3 linked regions of the Nothobranchius furzeri genome follow. The protein of the gene in region 1 purifies or fractionates together with the protein of each later gene. This does not show direct contact. Links are inferred from orthologs where the notes say so. Each region holds a gene or a part of one and is shown in the gene's direction. Other genes may lie near its edges.

What was found.
Region 2: the proteins of vps33a (region 1) and vps41 purify together in Homo sapiens (affinity purification with mass spectrometry; 5 studies listed by BioGRID and IntAct, counting the BioPlex papers as one, with this or other methods). This does not show direct contact. The link is inferred for Nothobranchius furzeri from reciprocal best matches to the Homo sapiens genes VPS33A and VPS41.
Region 3: the proteins of vps33a (region 1) and tgfbrap1 purify together in Homo sapiens (co-immunoprecipitation; 5 studies listed by BioGRID and IntAct, with this or other methods). This does not show direct contact. The link is inferred for Nothobranchius furzeri from reciprocal best matches to the Homo sapiens genes VPS33A and TGFBRAP1.

The regions. Positions count from the first base shown.
Region 1 is NC_091757.1:37,278,772-37,282,995, reverse strand, and holds the start of vps33a (vacuolar protein sorting-associated protein 33A), read left to right. Parts: upstream 1-1,370; 5' UTR 1,371-1,420; coding exon 1,421-1,522; intron 1,523-1,770; coding exon 1,771-1,836; intron 1,837-1,941; coding exon 1,942-2,069; intron 2,070-2,165; coding exon 2,166-2,352; intron 2,353-2,482; coding exon 2,483-2,599; intron 2,600-2,717; coding exon 2,718-2,892; intron 2,893-3,056; coding exon 3,057-3,250; intron 3,251-4,224.
Region 2 is NC_091747.1:46,098,398-46,101,543, forward strand, and holds the end of vps41 (vacuolar protein sorting-associated protein 41 homolog), read left to right. Parts: intron 1-202; coding exon 203-330; intron 331-403; coding exon 404-548; intron 549-623; coding exon 624-665; intron 666-740; coding exon 741-791; intron 792-874; coding exon 875-1,012; intron 1,013-1,097; coding exon 1,098-1,152; intron 1,153-1,232; coding exon 1,233-1,373; intron 1,374-1,442; coding exon 1,443-1,579; intron 1,580-1,829; coding exon 1,830-1,929; intron 1,930-2,011; coding exon 2,012-2,056; intron 2,057-2,145; coding exon 2,146-2,225; intron 2,226-2,324; coding exon 2,325-2,405; 3' UTR 2,406-2,623; downstream 2,624-3,146. UniProt on the Homo sapiens protein: Plays a role in vesicle-mediated protein trafficking to lysosomal compartments including the endocytic membrane transport and autophagic pathways. Acts as a component of the HOPS endosomal tethering complex.
Region 3 is NC_091749.1:37,399,947-37,404,186, forward strand, and holds the start of tgfbrap1 (transforming growth factor-beta receptor-associated protein 1 homolog), read left to right. Parts: upstream 1-1,404; 5' UTR 1,405-1,420; coding exon of another isoform or gene 1,421-1,494; 5' UTR 1,495-1,512; intron 1,513-1,585; coding exon of another isoform or gene 1,586-1,654; intron 1,655-1,814; coding exon of another isoform or gene 1,815-1,919; intron 1,920-2,034; coding exon of another isoform or gene 2,035-2,150; intron 2,151-4,240. Other genes in the region: cul4a (cullin-4A), read right to left, coding at 323-390, 793-875, 1,006-1,095, 1,182-1,344, 1,421-1,494, 1,586-1,654, 1,815-1,919, 2,035-2,150. UniProt on the Homo sapiens protein: Plays a role in the TGF-beta/activin signaling pathway. It associates with inactive heteromeric TGF-beta and activin receptor complexes, mainly through the type II receptor, and is released upon activation of signaling.

The DNA.
Region 1 (4,224 bases):
AGTTTAACTGGCTCGTGAAGACAAGGAATTTTGTTCCATCAAATTAACACAGGGTAGGAAATATGCTCCGTGTTAACACAGATGACTCACTCTCCCTCTCTTCTGAATGAAGCGCTGCATTCATTCAACTTGAGACATTTCTGTGTATCACCTGACATAACGCAAAATTAGAATATGAAAACAATGCTCATGGTGAAGATGCAATGTTTAGAAAACCTTGCAGAGAGATGGTGATGCCTACCTGAGAATCCAGCCCTGCCTCCTCTCCTCTTGTCGGGGAACGGAGCGGACTAGATTTCTGTGCAGAGCCTGGATCCGATCATAGAGTTAGTCATTGCGCATGGTGCCTGTCACCAAAACCGTGCTTTATTTATTTATTTTATTTTATTTATTTATTTGGCTGGAGGAGTTGTCTGTTGCAGATCACCCCGATGCGTGGGAAACGGTCTTCTATGCGTGGAGGATGGTTGGAAAGCCCTTGGTACCGTGGGAAGGAAACCCCTGGATCTGAAGTGATAACACAATGATGCTCATAAGTGGGCAGTCACCACCTGATCCAGTTTTCTTTATAAGTGTCTAAATTTATCTCAACATGCAGGCACTCCAGTTGAGAAATCACTGACATTTTGATTACGCAGTTGCAGTGGTGCGCCTTTTAACGCTTTTCTGTGTTTATACATGTATAAACATACAGTAATAAATAAACTGTACAGTAGTGTTTAAGTTGTATTGTAATTCCGTTAGAAATCAATTATTTGTGGGGGGTTTATTCCACTTAATTTGGATTACACACTTTGCCCGCTAACAAATGTTTTACTTTAAAAATTTGATCATTTTTGTCTTAATACAGTTTGAGTCTCGTGTTGATTTGGCTACAACAATCATATGTCCAAAAACGGACCCTAAAATTCAAAGATAAGTGTCCCTAAAATAAAGACGTTTAGTGCTTTGTTTTGACCGCAGACGCGCGTTTGTTTCGCAGGAAAATTGCGTCATCTAACGGTCACTCTGAATTTTACACTCAAGGAAATGATACCAAGACGTTTCACTCCTCATACTTCCTTGGTTGTAAACCCGAGACAAAAGCAACTTCATTCGGTGCATTATCGTCTACATGTGGTTGACATACAAAGAAATTTAATATGTGACACTGAGGCAAAGCTCTTTTAAACAGTACGGAGTTGATTTTATCTAATCCTCCTTTACTTCCGGGACACCAGAAAATTATTCTAGACCTAAAATATAATTTTTTAACCTACGTAATATAACTAAAGTCTACTAACATGAAGCTGAATTAAACTTGAATTTTTATTTTATTTTAATTTCCTAAATGTCTTGTCAGTACTGTGACGCATTTGGTCATGTGACTTTGACTTCCTGCCGAAGTCACCTGATTTTTGTGTTGTGTTGTGAGAAAAAAATGGCTGCTCATCTGTCCTACGGCAGAGTGAATTTAAACATTTTAAGAGAAGCGGCACGAAAAGAACTTCGAGAGTTTTTGGACAAATGCGCGGGAAGTAAGGTAAATAAAGTCACTTACAGACGCTGGAAAATATCAAAAGGAAATAGTCTTTTCTTATTTGTACAAAAATGTATTCATGATCCTGACAAATTAGACGGATTGTGTCGCGTTTACAGTACAGTCTATGGTTTAAACCAACGTGAAACGCGACCACGGGCAAATGCGCGTGTGAGCTTAAGTTTGATTTAAAACTTGTTTCCATAAATAAAATGTTTTTCATGGATACATGATGTGTTGTTGCTCTTTAGGCCATAGTTTGGGATGAGTATCTGACAGGACCTTTTGGACTAATAGCTCAGTATTCTCTGCTGAAGGTAAGTGCCTAACCCTTTACAGATTATTAAAATAAAACACAATGTAAGTAGATCTGACAGCCTGAGCCTTCACTTCTATTGCTCATTTTTTTGTGTGTTTTTCAGGAACATGAGGTGGAAAAAATGTTTACCCTCAAGAGTGGCAGACTCCCCTCTGCTGATGTCAAAAACATCATCTTCTTTGTTCGTCCCAGGCTGGAGCTTATGGACATCATTGCTGACAATATATTCAGGTGCCCCTCACTGTTATAAGCAACCAGTTTATACATCTTCCCTTAAAGAAATCCTTACAAGTATAACATTTGCATCTTGGATCGTGCACCTTTCAGTGAAGGCAAGCTGCATTCATCACGAGACTTCCACATTTTGTTTGTGCCTCGGCGGAGCATGCTGTGTGAGCAGCGGCTGAAAGAGCAGGGCGTGCTGGCCTCTTTCACCAACATTGATGAGTACATCCTGGATCTGATTCCTTATGATGGAGACCTGCTCTCTATGGAGTATGAAAGTGCTTTCAGGGTGAGTTTTTTCCCATTACAAATATGGAGTGTTATTTAGTCACAACATCAGAACCTCCTGCTCTATTTTATGTGTTTGAGTATATCTTTGCATACCATTTCATATTTGTACTTGCTTTCATCTCATTCAGGAGTGCTACCTGGAAAATGACCTGACGAGCCTGTACCACACAGCCAAAGGTCTCATGACCCTGCAGGCGCTTTACGGCACCATTCCACAGATTTTTGGGAAGGGAGACTGTGCACGGGTGAGTAAACCCAATGATCTGTGCAGTAACTGGAAAAAACTGTTTACACACACAATGTTAATATTAATAATGAGCAGATTAAAGACCTTTTTCCTGACAGATATTCTCTGTTTTATAGCATGTTGCCAACATGATGTTGCGGATGAAGAGGGAGTTTGCTGGCACTCAGAATCAGATTCTGCCGGTGTTTGACACTCTTCTCCTCCTGGACCGCAACATTGACCTGCTCACACCTCTAGCTACACAGCTCACTTACGAAGGCCTCATTGATGAAATCTATGGAATAACTAACGGTCAGAATGCACCATCATACGTTTGGAATCGTTCTATTTTTGTGTGAGATAAAAACATAAAAATGTTTAATATATTTTCTATTTCAATGATATATTTTAGTCTACTTAATTATTTTTTGCTAAAGGCACAGTTCTTCCTTTTTTTTCTCTTTGCCGTCTGACAGGATATGTCAAGCTTCCTCCTGAGAAGTTTGCACAGAAGAAGCAAGGAGAAGCTAGCAAAGATTTACCCACAGAGCCCAAGAAGTTACAGCTCAACTCAGCAGAAGAGCTGTATGCAGAAATCCGGGACAAAAATTTCAATGCTGTTGGTGCTGCACTCAGCAAAAAGGCTAAAATCATTTCTGCAGCGTTTGAGGTTGGTTTTCCTTTGTTTTTGTTTTTTGTTAATTTTTTTGTTTTTTTTAGATTTTGCACCTCTTAGTGTTAATTCCTACCAGATAACATAACTGTCTTATTTTATTTTGAAAGAAAAGGGGAAAAAACACATGTTTTCAATTATGGCTGCTTTCCACTTCTGTAGCTCTGCATGCTGGGTTTTCTGTAAAACACTAATGAGCAGATCTTCCTAATGGAATGCAGCCCTACTCCTTCAAGTCTAATTGTCTGCTGTAGGCTTTTATTGATTTATGTTCACAAGTGTTTTAAGGAAGACGTTCAAAATTGTCATCAAAGGTTTTTTTTAACAAATCAGAAAACCTACCTATGCCTTTGTTTAATTTTAAATTGAGCATTTGCATTTTTACATGGCCTGAAAAAAATTTTAATCTGCTATATAACTTCATTATCTATTTGAATGGTCTCCGTTTGGAGAAACAGAGATTAGTTCTGAACAGACGAACAAGCTAACAGCTAACATTTAAAACTTTAGCCAAATATAAACTAACTGGAATTTGTCCAACCCCTTCCCCTAACCCCTGACTCATCTCTGAGTTCCCTTTCTACTGGTTATTTTTGAAATATGATCGGTTAATCTGAGTTTAACATGCTGGCTAAACCTGAAAACAGTCTACCACCCCTATTTCCTGCATTAGCAGCTGATAAAAATAGGGAAACGCTTGGATTAGAAAAGCCTGACAATTCCACATCATATTGTCAAATTAGCATTCATGGACACACCCATCTTGGCTCACGATGGGGAAGGCTGTTATTGGTATAGCATCCAGGAGAGAGCAGAGCACGTCTCGGCTAGTAGAAGCCAACCGTTAGCATTTACAGCACCGCATCATAGCAGAACTCCTTCAGGCTTGTGTTGTTTGTGGAGCAATGCAAATGGAGTCAGTGGTAGCTGTTAGCCAATCAGAGGCGAGATGTTTGAATATAAGGAAATAA
Region 2 (3,146 bases), on another chromosome or scaffold:
TCCTAGAAATGGTGCAGCGGTATTATTCCTCCACCTGCTGGAGAATTCTAAAGATGTAAGAGAAGTTTTCTGGTTGGGAGACAAAATGAAATGGAAAAACGATTAGATCTAGATGGCTGAAAACCAGCTACTAACGTGTGTACCTACTATAGAAATGCACTCATTGCTCTTTAATCTTATTCCTTTTCTTATTTTCCTGAAGGGCTTTGCCACGCTGATCCGGGAGTGGCCTGGAGAACTTTACAACAACATGGCCATCGTTCAGGCCGTCACTGACCACCTGAAGAAGGATCCGACCAACAGCACGCTGCTCACCACGCTGGCTGAGCTGTGAGTCGCCTCAGCGCTCGCTTTCATCTAAGCTTCTTGTTAAGTTGCTGAACAGGACTTGATGCTTTCTCAGGTACACGTACGACCAGCGCTACGACAGAGCTTTAGAGATCTACCTGAGACTGAGACACAAAGATGTCTACCAGCTGATCCACAAGCACAACCTGTTCTCCTCCATAGAGGACAAGATCGTCCTCCTGATGGACTTTGATAAGGAGGTAACAAACCAACCTATTTATTATTTAGTCCATCTAAAGACCATTTATGTAATTAAATGTGTACGTTTTCATTAGAAAGCTGTTGACATGCTTCTCGACAATGAAGACAAGATTTCTGTGAGTAAATTTGACAGTTTTGAATGTCCTGGTAAGAACTTTGCTGCTAGCTGATGTCCATGGCTCTCCCGACAGATGGACAGGGTGGTGGAGGAGCTACATGGTCGACCTGAGTTGCTGCATGTGGTGAGTTTTCTGTAACTTGGATGTTTTAGGGGTTCATTTGAATTCATTGGTGCAGCGTGATGGCTAAGCCGTTTCTCTCCTAGTATCTCCATAAACTGTTCAAGAGGGACCACCACAAAGGACAGAAGTACCATGAGAAGCAGATCGGCCTGTACGCCGAATACGACCGGCCAAACCTTCTGCCTTTTCTGAGAGACAGCACTCACTGCCCTCTTGAAAAGGTACTGTGTGTTCCTGCCACCAGAATTACAAACAAATTAAGCTTCTGTCATTTCTTCTTACTTGAACTTTGTCGTTTTCATCCAGGCTCTTGAGATTTGTCAGCAGAGGAACTTTGTGGAAGAGACGGTCTTCCTGCTAAGTAAACATTTAGAAACAAACGCATCTGTTAAGGGAAACGTGAGAAACAAATGCAATTTTTTTTTCTCGTTCGTCTTTCAGGCAGGATGGGAAACTGTAGACGAGCCCTGCAGATGATCATGGAGGAGCTGGAGGACGTGGACAAAGCCATCGAGTTCGCTAAAGAGCAGGATGACGCAGAGCTGTGGGAGGACCTCATCTCGTACTCGATCGACAAGCCGCGTAAGACGTCACTTGACTCTGAACTTTTATCTCATTGTCTTTAACTCACTCCACCCTCACTAAACCCAGCGTTCATCACGGGCCTCCTGAATAATATCGGCACGCATGTTGATCCGATTCTGCTCATCTATCGGATCAAGGAGGGCATGGAGATCCCGAATCTCAGGGACTCGCTGGTGAAAATCCTCCATGACTACAACCTGCAGGTCAGGTGGCTTCTCTCAAAGAAAAACTCTATTTATTTAAATGTCTGCAGGTTGCAGACTGATTCTTTGGTGGCTTAAAGATTACATGACACACCAGGAGCTTCCTTCATGTAAAAACTTGTTATTAATCCATTAAGTTCTGCTTTTTGAAGAGTTATAACAGGTTTAACAGGTAATTTAATTGGTTTATATGGCATGAAATCTTCTGACTCACTTGCTTAATTACGCGCTTTTATTTCTCGACTTGTAGATTCTTTTAAGGGAAGGGTGTAAGAAGATCCTGGTGGCCGACTCCCTCTCCTTGCTCCAGAAGATGCATCGAACCCAGATGAGAGGAGTCCGGGTCGATGGTGGGAGCAGATTCTATTGCTAGTTTGTGTTGAACCAGTGCAGATGAACCCCTAAATGTGTTGATTCTGTTCATTCTTTCAGAGGGGAACATTTGTGAGTCGTGTCATGGTACTATATTACCATCAGGTGGGTTGATAATGTCATTGATCCCTGTGTTTTTTTTTTGTTTTTTTTTTTATGTTTACTGTATTAACAGCTTCATGTGTGTGTTTCAGACATGGCCCAGCCTTTCAGTGTGGTGGTGTTTCACTGCAGACACATGTTTCACAAGGAGTGTTTGCCGTCTTCAGGAATAGTAAGTCTGCATTCAAACACCTCTTTCCCAACTCTGGTGTTATTTTATCAGAAAACCTCAGGAACATCCTCCACTTTGTTCCCATTTTTACTTTTCCAGATTCCTGGAGTGCAGTTCTGTAACATTTGCAGTGCGAAGAGGCGAGGACCTGGAAGTGGAATACTCGAAATGAAAAAGTGACACTTTAATGCCCTCATGTTGTTGTTATTGATGCTTTTTGTCTCCTTTTTTCCCTCGTCGGTACGCTGATGAACAGGAATCTTTTTTCCTCAGTTGATGAACTGTACTCTCACCAAAATACAGAACTGTTACCCTTTATTTGTTTGCTAACTGTAAAGTGCCGTGTTTTGTCCAGATCACCTTGAATGTGATGAAGAATAAAATCACATAAACTCTGACTGTGTTGTTGATGCTTTATGTCATCCAAAATGCTTCTTAGGTTGAGAGTATCATAAATCATCAAAATGAGTTGCTGAGTGCATCACGGGAGTTTGATGCTCTCTACGGCCAATGCAAGAGCTACAGCTTCATTTTCTGTACAAATTTAAGTTCATTACTGGTTTGCGTCGATTCATCCAGGGTGTATCCTGTTTGTCTGGCATTCATGAACAAGATCTCATCTTGTAGTCGCAGAGATCTCATCTGTGCTTTATTGCACATCCTTATATAATTCAATTATTTGGGTGTCTAGTTGACAAGTGAGGACTGGATGGAGCAAAAGATGGGCCGGTGGATTGGGGCTTTGCAGTTGTAGCCGGTGCTTCATAACTTGTTCTTGTTGAAAGAATAAAAGGACGAAAATGCTCTTGATTTATTGGTTCATCTACATTCCCACCCTCACTGGTTTGGATAACCAAAAGTAAAAGATCCCAAATAAAAGCAGCTAAAATGAGCTTCTTTGGAGAAAAGATGAAGAGCTCC
Region 3 (4,240 bases), on another chromosome or scaffold:
GAAACAAACCCTAAACAACGGAGCTCAATAGAAAGTTTGTTTAGTCAATTTGTTATGGTTTCTGATTTATGAGGTTCATAAAACGTGTAAAACAATTAACTAGAGCGAGATTTATGTAAACAGACAGAGCTTTCTTTAAAAATGATTGGCTGTAAACAGAGTTTTGGGAATTTGACTGCTGTGTTTCACAAGGAGGACATTATATTACATAAATTCAACCCAGCTGGACCAGTTATAGGCGATACATCCACATCAGCACCACTTCTGAAGAATCTCACACGGCTTCACACCATCGCTTATCTTCTGACAATAACAGATGTACCTTTTTGCAGGATTGCAGTCATATGTTCTCCTAAAAGCTGTTTCTCAATGCAGTTAATGAGAGGTTTCCTGTGAATTGAGCAAAAAGAAAACACAAGAAAGAAGGAAAACTAAGTGTGTGTAACAGGAAACAACAGATACACACACAATACTGTACAGTTTGGAGAAAAGGATCGTCTACAGCAGACATCTGTGATCCAAGGTTTTGTATACAAGAACATCAGAATGAACTAATTTAGTCTATCAAATCGGAAAAATATCCAACCTGTATTATTATTTATTTAACCGTGTTTAAAGACTGTAAAAATATGTTTGCTTCCATATTGATGTGTGTCGACTCTGGTTTCTTCTGTGAATTTTGGTCAGTTCTGATTAATCTCAAAGAGCTAGAATTATCAGAAAATATTTGCTCCAGGGTCTAAGCCTTGCTAAAGGGTGAATAAATCCTGCTGTGACAGTTCCAGATCTTACTGAGTGCTCTGGTCGAGGTAGCTCATGATTCGGTCATTCTCCTCCTCTAAACGTCGAGCCACATGGTGCAAGTATTCTGGTACCTGCACGAGCACGCACGCACGCACACACACACACACACGCACACACACACACGCACACACACGCACACACTGCTAATTCACAATTTACTTTAACCGCATGATAAACAGACGAATTTATCATCTCACTCACGTCTCTCTCCTGCATCAGCCGTTGTCCCTCAGCTGCATAGAGACGATTTGTCTCAGTCAAAAATCTCTCCTCAAACGAGTCTCTATAAACCTAAAATGTTTTTGTTAGGTTAGATGATTTGTTGGAAAATAATCTTCCTGTGCATTTACAGATGTGATAAACTGGAGATGGTGTACCTGCAGGTCTGACAACATGCCCAGTAAACTCCGGAGAAGGCTGCGATCAATGGTCTCGCCGTTGCGCTCCAGCTCTATCTGCTCCAAAAGTCCCTCCACTGTTCGCTTCTGAACAGCAACATCGCTCACGATGTGGGTGCGGAACAGTTCCAGCCCGGTGTCCCTGCAGCACATGAACAGCATCAGCTTCCTGAGAGCATCCTGACAGACCGGGAAAAGCTCAAACGAGCCGAGTTTACCAAATGGAGGGGAGCAGAGAGTTCTGAAGCACATAGGTACGATCCAGGAAGAGAAAGATACTTCGGATCATTATCTACAAACAGGGACACAGGTTGGTTCATTTATGCTTTACTGACATTTATTCTACAGTTTTTATATGGAAATCTATCAGACGTTGCACTTACAGTTTGCCTGCAGTGGTCCTGCCAGCATCGATTCATTCGCTTTAGGAAGGAAAGGTTGTCCAGAGACTCTGTGAGCTCCAAGTTGAGGAAAAAACGTCAAATTTATCAGAAGTCTGAGTCGAGTTTATGGTCATCTGATGGTAGAAATAGTCAAATATGTCTTAAGCTGTAAACATCTGAGCCACACTTGGGGTTAGTCTGACACGACTGAGCACAAGTCAAAAGGATATTCTCTGAACTGATGGATCTGGGCCTGAACGTGATCTTCACAGACTTGACGCAGCTGTTTGTAGAGTGTGGGGGAAACTTTATAGGAGCACAGGTTCTCCACCGCCTTTCAGTGACATATTTCATCACAGACAAGAAGAAAAAATAATAGACATGTTAGCAGCTGACACGATGTCACATGTCTAACCCAAAACTGAGCTTGTTTGTTTTAACAGACAAACCTGGTAGAGCTCTTCCAGGTTGTACTTAATGGAGGTGCTGTTCTGGATGGCTCCTACTGCGTCTCGAAGCTTCAGCCACGTGTCTTCTGTGTAGTTCTCTGATAGCTTGGGCCTATCTGTAACCAAAGCAAAGCAAAGGTTGCACAATTTATAAAGAGAACATCATGAAATGACAAGATAAGGCGTGTGTTTACCACTAATCGATTGACTGATTGATTTGATTGATTTGCTTTATTGTCATTGCACAAAAAACCCACACTGTAATTTTGACAAAAAAATCCCTTTGCTTGGCAACCCGCAAGATAAAAATGTGAGACTATAAATTGTAGCCTTAAAAATACTTATTATAAATCAATGAATAGTTCAGTGCAAATTATAAATTGCAGTATACTTAAAAAATAATCTTTCACTTGGCGTTCAATAATCAAATACTTATCACTTGTAAGTCGCTTTGGACAAAAGCGTCTGCTAAATACATAAACCTAAACATAAATACTCAAAGGTTTGAATGAATCACGCTTAAAATAACAATAATTTCTACTATCTGAAACATTATTTTCAGCTTCAGTAAACTGTCACTTCCCTTCTTTCATGTCATTTTGGCACTGACCTCATATAAACTAAGTGTTTTCATCCTGTTGGTGTGGGTCATGAAACACCAGGTGGAAGATTTTATAAAATAAAATTAACTTTAAAATGATCAGAGTTAAAACTCTTCAAAACAAACGTTGTTTTGTAAACATTTAACTAATCTATGCTCCATCTGATTTGAAAACATGTATGATAGCTTTGATCAATCTAGCAGTCGATCTACGCTCCTACCCTCACCTATGGCCACAAGCTTTGGGTAGTAACTAGGGATGTGTATTGGTGAAATTATAGCAATACGATACTTATCACGATACAGGGGAGGCGATATAATATCTCACGATACATTCAGTCAGACGATATTAGTGATATTTTTAGACTGAATTTATTGTAAGAAAATTCATTAAACAGTCCAAACTGATACTGAACATGTTTAACATGAGTTATCTGAACCATAATAGAGGGATTTACATTTCAATGGTGGAAACAAACCCTTTGCACACTGCTGCCAACTAGTGGTCGGCGTTTGAATTGCACCAAAAGAAAAGTAAATACGCAAATGTTTGCGTGTAAATTCTTCCAAAAATTAGAGACACAGCTTTTGAAAATCAATACAATATTGCAGGAAAAATATCACGATATATTGTGATATCAATATTTTCTATACACGGCTTTTAAGTATTGATATAACATCGCTGGAAAAAATATCCTGATATACTGCCATATCGATATTTTTTATATCCCTTGTAGCAACCAAAAAAACGAGATTGTGGATACTAGCGGCCAAAATTTGTTTTCTCCGCAGGGTGTCTGGGCTCTCCCTTAGAGATAGGATGAGAAGCTCAGTCATCCAAGAGGAACTCGGAGTAAATTTGCTGCTCCTCTACATCGAGAGGAGCCAGTTGTGGTGGCTCGGGCATCTGGTTAGGACATCTCCTGTACGCCTCCCTGGTGAGGTTTTCCGGCATGTCCAACAATGAGAACACCTAAAGGAAGACCCAGGACATGCTGAAGGGACTACATTTCCCATCTGGTCAGGGAATGCCTTGGGATTTCCTTAGAAAAGCTGGCCCAAGTTAGCCTAGTGAACTAGACCAAATTCTTGCTTTGCAAAGTTTGCAAATAATACATTTATTTAGTCTGGCTTGCCAGGCTAGGCCCAAGTGGCTGGAGAGAGGGAAGTCTGGGCCTCTCTGTTTAGGCTGCTGCCCCCGTGACCTGACCCCGGGATAAGCAGACAAAAATGGATGGATGGATGGATGATAGCTTTTCAACTACACTGCAGAAGTACATGTCAAATTAATTAGATCAGTAACAAAACAATGAAAGGTCTAAAATGATTTTAGTATCGAAAAGTCATTAAAATGCCTTGTTTTGACAGAATTTTGGCAATAAAGTAACATTTGTTGGAATTGTTATAAAAATGCAGGTATTTGGTACTACAATACAAATCTGTTTATGGCACAAAAATAAAACTTTAACAGTGCATCAAGTAGATCAAATACATTGCACTCCCTCCCAAGAGATGTGTCATACAGAAAAGCCTTTCAGGGTGTTATTTTATCAAATGAGAACAACCTTTTTGATCTCCATGGTTCCAGTAACGATGCTGCTTTAC